2 linked regions of the Elephas maximus indicus genome follow. The protein of the gene in region 2 interacts with the protein of the main gene of each other region in a biochemical or structural test. Links are inferred from orthologs where the notes say so. Each region holds a gene or a part of one and is shown on either strand. Other genes may lie near its edges. The genes, in order: CASQ2 and TRDN.

The links.
Region 1: the proteins of TRDN (region 2) and CASQ2 form a complex in vitro, tested with the Homo sapiens proteins (3 studies listed by BioGRID). The link is inferred for Elephas maximus indicus from reciprocal best matches to the Homo sapiens genes TRDN and CASQ2.

The regions. Positions count from the first base shown.
Region 1 is NC_064821.1:164,562,199-164,566,120, reverse strand, and holds the start of CASQ2 (calsequestrin-2), read right to left. Parts: upstream 2,379-3,922; 5' UTR 2,377-2,378; coding exon 2,187-2,376; intron 1-2,186. UniProt on the Homo sapiens protein: Calsequestrin is a high-capacity, moderate affinity, calcium-binding protein and thus acts as an internal calcium store in muscle. Calcium ions are bound by clusters of acidic residues at the protein surface, especially at the interface between subunits.
Region 2 is NC_064819.1:191,001,253-191,005,174, forward strand, and holds the start of TRDN (triadin), read right to left. Parts: upstream 2,975-3,922; coding exon 2,917-2,974; intron 2,212-2,916; coding exon 2,002-2,211; intron 1-2,001. UniProt on the Homo sapiens protein: Contributes to the regulation of lumenal Ca2+ release via the sarcoplasmic reticulum calcium release channels RYR1 and RYR2, a key step in triggering skeletal and heart muscle contraction.

The sequences.
Region 1 (3,922 bases), on a different chromosome or scaffold from region 2:
CCTGGTGATTTATTTCTGAAAAACCTACCAAAGAACACCCTATGGATCTGATTCTGTTGTGCATGGGGCTGCCATCAGTCAAAGTTGATGTGATGGTAGTTAACTGTAACAGAAGGCTCTCTGAGAGTGGGACCACAGTCTTCTTGGTATCCTAGTTCCTTGCCCAGAGCCTGGACATAACGAATGAGTGGACAGAATGAATTCCTTGTTTTCCTGTTCTAGCAGAATCCTGTATATCTGCTTTTCCATTTAGCCTGTAAACACTGCAAGGGCATCTTCTCCTTTCCTACCCTCCACTGCCCTTGGTGTAAGTCTGTGTACTTAACAAATGCTTTCTGGAAAACCGCATTTTCCCCCAGGAATGCTAAATAGCTGAGGTTGGCATTTAGTCCAACTGCCTGGCATCCTAACTCCTTAGATTGATTGTTTTCAAACTCTCTATTGCTGGAGAATGCTTTCTCCAAATGAATTCTTCTGCAGAACCTCCAGGGAAAAGGCAGCTGGACTGCTGCCTGCTATGCCTCAAGGCAACTCTGAGGATCCCCTGGCACACTGGGGATCATTGGTTATAAACCTAAAGGAGCATCGTGCCCGCACTGCTTGAAGTCAGCAATGGCCAATCTCAATAGACACGTCACTCAGTGCCCACTGTTAGATTTTTTCTGAGTGAGACCAGTTAGGAGGCTGTTGCACTAGTTCAGGCAGAGCCTGATGGGAGCCAATCTAAGGCAAATGGAGAAGAGATAAACATGAAAAGAGCAAGTTCACAAAATACAACAACTGTCCAGTAACTCCAAGGGTCAAATAGCCAGAAAGACGCTACTCCAATTCCTCTAGGCTGAGCTTGGAGAAAGGTTCCTTAAGACGTACCAAGCCCCATCATGTCTTTGCTGGAAGAATACCCACTGGTCCATTCTTACGAGTGCTTGCCCCAGCTTGTTCTACCCAAACTTTTAAATCACTGGAACGCCACTGTTTCCCTGCAGCTAAGTTTACTGGAAGTTCTCCCAAATTGAATTTCTCACTAAAACAATGGGAAGGGGGACTACTAAGGAATCAATAGGCTGCTAGGGGAGAAGGCAGAACTCACTAAGCTGCTTTTGACTCTACGGAAAGAGTTTAACATACTTTGCTTCCCTGCTCAAGGGAAAGAACACTCCTTAATTTATCTCCAGGGAAGGAGATACCGCAGACATTCGTATTAATAATTCATTACCATTTTACAGTCATGAGTTCTTCCTCCTGTCTAACCTAAATATTGACTCCTGTAGTTTAAATCTTTTTGAAAAAATCTGGACTTCTTGAAAATAAAATAGAAAACAGTTGTCTGTAATTCTCCAGGATAATGAACTTTCACGGGCCTGAAAATATTTATTGAATCACCACTAATAATGTTTTTTTTTCCCTATGCTTACTACTCCGAATCCAATCAACCTTTCTTCAAAGGTCCTGTTTTATAATCTGCTGCTATTTTTTTAAAGAGCCTCTCTTCACTGACCATGCAGAAAAAGGCAAATGCGCAGAACATGTGTGTGGGTGTTTGAAAACTGGAGGAGTTACCTGTACTCTCTGTGCTTGGGATTACAGGTACAAGAATCTTAAAGAGCACTTGCATTTAAGTATGACCTAAGGACACAAGAGATTACAACTTCCACTGTGTAGTCACTTACCCGTTCCTCTCCTCAATGCTCCCTGTCATCCTTTGTGATAATGCCCGGCTGGGTTTTAGCCTTAAATTTAGAAGCCACTTGGGACCCCAGAGTCACTACTATTAAAGCTATCTTTTGTTGCTTGCTTCAGCCAAGAGACAAGGAGATAATAGGTGATGGAAGAAGAGATCCGACATCTCTCAGAGAGATCACCATGGTGGAGAAATAGAGAATCTAGCCTTTGAGCTTGCTCTAGTTGCTGAAGAATAAAGGCTTAGTTCTTTAGTGTTATTTTCTCTAGGAAGGAACTGCTCATTGTACAGAAACAAAAATATTATCAGATGATTAATGTGAAACTATTCAGATCAGGCTGGGACTTATATTTATGAAACTCTTTCCAACCCAAACTAAGCTATGCACCATCATTTTATATTTATCTTAAAAATAGTCCAACTATCATTGGAGAATAAATGCAACTGTCCTTTTTTGGCAAGAGATATTTGTTTTTTCCTTGTATATCCCAAAAGTCACACTTACCTAGTTTCTTGGCAAGCTTGGCTTCTTTCTTGGAATCCACCATCACAAAGCCTATATCTTTATGCTCTAGGACCTGGGCCACAAGCTGAAGGGAAAGACAAATAGGAGGGTAAGTGGGCTGAGGGAGAAAGACGGTAGAAAATATCACAAAACAATATTTTGATGTATTGACAGGATGGTTCTCCTCCATACTTCCTGTTAGTCTGGGCAATTGAAGCAGCAGCTAAGGAATTCTGTGCTTATTATCTCAGGTGAAGGATGACTCAGCAGAATGCTGAGAACCAAGGAGATCAAATCTGAAGACCAGGCCTAAGATAAAAGAGCTGAAAGAATATATCCAATGTGACACCCTCCTCTGCCTTTGCCATAGGTAAAATTGAATTGGGAGAAGAGAGAATCAGAAAGGAAGCAAAAGTACCTGAGAAGTGGCTCTGAGCCTTGCCCCTGCTGCCAGGTCAACCTGGAATAGGGTGGGGACGCAAGAGGACCACAGATAGTTTGAGGGATCTTAGAATAAAGGAGGCCCAAATCCCCTATATCCTAGCATAATCCCCCAGTCCCCCCACCCAGTGCTTGTGGCATAGAAATGCTCATTTGGTGTATCTGGCAAATAGGCCTGAGAGGGCCTCTCCAGATTTCCTGAAGCCCATTGACAGGAAGGAGTGGTAGAGTGTCTCCTGTGTGGCCAAGAGTGACACAGTAGGAAGTATAGTTGGGGAGGGAGGAAAGCACAGAGAGACTTCAGCTCCAAAGGTAAGGTGGATGCAGCAGTGTCCTCAGTGGGCAGATGGCTGAAAACTACTCTGGGCTGATACCAGTTTTGAGGATGCCACAGAGCACGAGATTGGCACCATGCTAAGCTCCCTGAAACTTAGATATGAGGAGATAGGGAGACCCTCAGTTGCCTGAGATCTAATCCCTGCCATATGGCTGAATGGAGGCTTGAAATAGAAATAGAGTGGAGATGCTACTGGAGAGATCATGAGACACTAATCTTACTTTTTTAAAATTAAACTTTTGAAAAGACAATTGGAGATTAGAATGCAGTTGTAAGAAAGAATACAGACAGTACACTTTACCTTATTTCCTACAATGGTAGCATATTGCAAAACTATAGTATGCTATCACAGCTGGGACATTGACATCAACACAGTCAAGACATAGAACTTTTCCATGACCTTAAAGACCCTTTGTATTGCCTTTTTACAGCCACCTTCACTTACTCCAGTTCCCACCTCCACTGATCTCTTCTCCATTTTTATAATTTTTTCATTTCAAGAGTGTTTTATAAACAGGATCATACAGCATGTAACTTTTAGGACTAACTTTTTTCATCAGCATAATTCTCTCCCTGGAGGTCCATCCAGGTTGTTACGTGTATCAATAGATCATTCCTTTTTATTGCTGAGTAGTAGCTCATGATATGAGGTACCACAGCTGGTTTAGTCTTCACCTGTTGAAAGACATCTGGGCTATTTATATTTTCGGGCTATGATGAATATACCCAAAACCCATTGCCAGTGAGTCAATTCCGACTCATGGCAACCCTATAGGACAGAGTAGAACTGCCCCATAGAGTTTCCAAGGAGCGCCTGGTGGATTCGAACTGCCGACCTCTTGGTTAGCAGCCGTAACACTTAACCACTACGCCACCAGGGTTTCCATGATGAATATAGCTGTTATAAACATTCATGTACAGGTTTTTGTGTGAATGTTGATCTTAACTTCTCTGAGAT
Region 2 (3,922 bases):
ATCTGTTGTAAAAATGAAAGAATGGTATTTTATGATCATATTTGGTCCTAAAATTTGAATCAGTGAAATCCTAAAAAGCAAACAAACAGGTGAAATACTATAGTCAATATTGACTCAAGGAAAATAACATTTCTTAGAGTAATACAACCAACTATATTTTACTCATAGTTACAATTTTATATCATAGACATTTCAACTGTATATTTTTTGAGTCTACACTTGAGTATTGCCTATTTACAAAAGACATTTATGGCTCTGGAAAATACTCTTTTGCTTTGGTTGACATTCATGGGTCTTACCTTTACCCCTTACGTGTTGCTCTCACTTTAGCCCAGCTACCAAGAGTACTACAGCTAGCAGAGTCACCTAAATTGCACCTCCATGTCAAAAAAACCAAAAAATGTAGTTCTATGACTTCAAGATATTTATACGTGTATTTCAAGCCCAGCTACCAAGAGTGCAGCTAGCAGAGTCATCTAAATTTCACCTATGTGTCAACAAACCCAAAAAATATAGTGCTATGACTTCAAGATATTTATACCTGTATTTCTTTTGATATCTTTGGCATAGCTGTTTACTAGCACACATAGTAAGTACTTGATAAAAAATTGTAAAATGAGCGAATAAAGTGTCATAAAGATAAATACGGGATCCTTGAGTGTATAAAATGGAACATATAGTATTTATGTTTTCCAGGTCCTACCTCCACTTCTGGAAACCCTCGTGGCATAGTGGTTAAGAGCTACAGCTGCTAACCAAAAAGTTCAGCAGTTCAAATCCACCAGCAGCTCTTTGGAAACTCTATGGAGCAGTTCTGGTCTGTCCTATAGGGTCGCTACGAGCCGGAATCAACTTGGTGGCAACGGGTTTGGTTTTCTTTTCTTTTTACCCCCACTTCTACTGGAGAAAGAAAATGTGGAGTGCAATTATGAAAGAGCACCATTAAGAGGTTAATGACATGCTTTCGCTTGTAGTAAAAGGTGATGCATGATAAATCCATTCATTGGTTCGTTTTATATTTATTGTGCACCTGATTAATTCCTGTCTTCAAACAATTTAGTGAATAGAGGCAGTCCCAAGTAAAAATAGATAAATACAATTTAAAAATAAATAAAAATTCTCTAACAGAGGGAAGGACAGGGAACTTAGAGGTTGAATTTGTAGTCGTGGTGGTGGTTGTAGAGTCAATTCTGACTCACAGTAACTCCATGTATGCAGAGTAGAACTGCTCCATAAGATTTTTAAGGCTGTGACCTTTCAGAAGCAGATTGCCAGGCCTGTCTTCTGAGGCATCTCTGGGTGAATTGGAAGTGCCAACCTTTCAGCTAGTAATTGATCACCTAATCATTTCTGCCACCCAGGGACTCCTAGAGATTGAATAGACCATATGAAAATCTGTCTTTTCTCATTTGTATTATTTGTATTTTGCCTCAAATCCCTGAGGACACATGGACTCAAGGAACAGTGTCTCATGGCAAGCAATTCTGGGAAAATTCTTTTTAACACACTTTATTTTCAGTAACTCAAAATAGGGTAGTTTGGTGGAAGAAGGTAAGACTGTGTTTGTAAAGGAAGCCTGGAGCCAGAGGATACAGGGGATTAAAAATATTTTATCAAATTTTTCTTTTGCCCAGAAGTTGTTTTGTTTTGTATTACTAAGTTTAAATTTTACAAATTATCTTGTATTTAATGGTGGATAAGCTCCCATTTTTTCCCCCAAATTAGACATCTATTCAAGGTTTCTAATCATTACCTTTCTGAAACTGCAACATTCAACCTTTGTTCACCTCTGCAAATAAAGGGTACCTTTGAAGTCTGCCAACACAAGGAAGGAGAATAGAAGGGGAAGAGCAAGAAAGGAACTCAGCTTCAGTGGCCCTAAGGCACACATGTGGCGCTCTTTATTTCATACACTAAGATGAGGCAAGGAAAAACAAAGCCAGGTCTGGGGAGAACATTTATGTTTGTTTTAATTTAAAAGCTAAATTTAATCTATCTTACCTGAAAAATTTTTGTAATCCACTAAATCAAACATAACAACTGCAACAGCTGACCACGTGATTATGAGAGCAATGACCAGGAGCCAGGCTGCCGGGGAGCTGAATGTCGTCACTATGTCTTCTGTGACTGTCCTCTTCAGCACTTTTCCAGGGGATCTGGGCACTGATCCATTTTTGCTGTCTATCACAGTTGTAGTTGTTGATGCATTTCCTACACAAACATTCAGAAAGGAGAATTACAATTTAGAAAATCAGGTCAAATACTGATGACAAAGAACACAGTTTATAGGAGTTATGCAAATTTACTTCTATAATAAACCAAAACCAAACCTAACCCATTGCCATCAAGTTGATTCCAACTCATAGCAACCCTGTCAGACAAAGTAGAACCGCCCCTTAGGGTTTCCAAGGAGTAGCTGGTGGATTCAAACTGCCTATCTTATTTAAAAAAAAAATTTTTTTATTGTACTTTAGATGAAGGTTTACAGAGTAAGCTAGTTTCTCATTAAACAATTCATATGCGTACTATTTTGTGACATTGGTTGCCAACCCTATGACATGTCAACTTGTTCCCAATCTCCCCTTCTTGATCTTGGGTTCCCTAGTACCAGCTTTCCTGTCCCCTCCTGCCTTCTTGTTCTTGCCCTTTGGGCTGGTATGCCCATTTAGTCTCTTTTCTTTTTTTTTTTTTATGGGCCTGTCTAATATCTGACTGAAGGGTGAACCTTAGGAGTGACTTAGGTACTGAGATAAAAGGGTGTCTGGGGGCATAGTGTCCGGGTTTCTCCAGTCTCTGTCAGACCATTAAGTCTGGTCTTTGTTTGTGTGTGTGAGTTAGAATTTTGTTCTACATTTTTCTCCAGCTCTGTCTGGGACCTTCTTTTGTGATCCCTGTCAGAGCAGTTAGTGGTGGTACCTGGGCATCTAGTTATGCTGTACTCAGCCTGGTGGACATTGTGATAGTCGTGGTCCATTAGTCCTTTGGACTAATCTTTCCCTTGTGTCTTAGGTTTTCTTCTTTCTCCCTTGCTCCAGATGAGGTGAGACCATTGGAGCATTTTAGATGGCCACTCACAAACTTTTAAGACCCCAGGCACTACTCACCAAAGTAGACTGTAGAACATTTTCTTTATAAACTGTGTTATGCCAGTTGAGCTAGATGTTCCCTGAGACCATGGTCCCCACAGCCCTTAACCCAGTAATTTGATTCCTTAGGGAGTTTGGATGTGTCTATGGAGCTTCCATGACCTTGACTTAGACAAGTTGTGCTGGCTTCCCCAGTATTGTGTACTGTCTTACCCTTCACCAAAGTCGCCACATATATATTGGAACTAATATATTTTTTTGGAAAATTGTTTAATCCAGCAGTCTCTATTTCTTTGTCAATACTGTACAGTATTTAAAATATCTGCATTGACATAGGAGGGAAACTACATTTAATTTGCAATTCTTTGATTACTAGAAATGAGATTTTTTTTTTCCTGTATTTCAAATCTTTTTTTTTTGGCTATTTTTCTATAAGTCTCCACTTGGTGGCTTATAAAATCATATATATGAGAGTATCAATTTATCTGTTGTTTATATTGCAATAACCCTGCCACCCCTGGTAACCATTAATAAAATTTAGTTCATATACATCTGCCTTTTCTATTTCATATAGCTCAGATCACACAAAATTTGTCCGTTTGTAACTGACTCATTTCATTCAACATAGTGCTTTCAAGGTTCACCCATGTTGTAGCATGTTTCAGGACCAGATTTCTCTTTATGGCTGAGTAACATTCCATCATATATACATACCACATTTGGTTTATCTGTTCATCTGTTGATAGACATTTAGTTTGTTTCTACCTTTGGCTATTGTGAATATGCTTCTATGAACATCATTATACAAGTATCTGTTGGCATTTCTGCTTTCAATT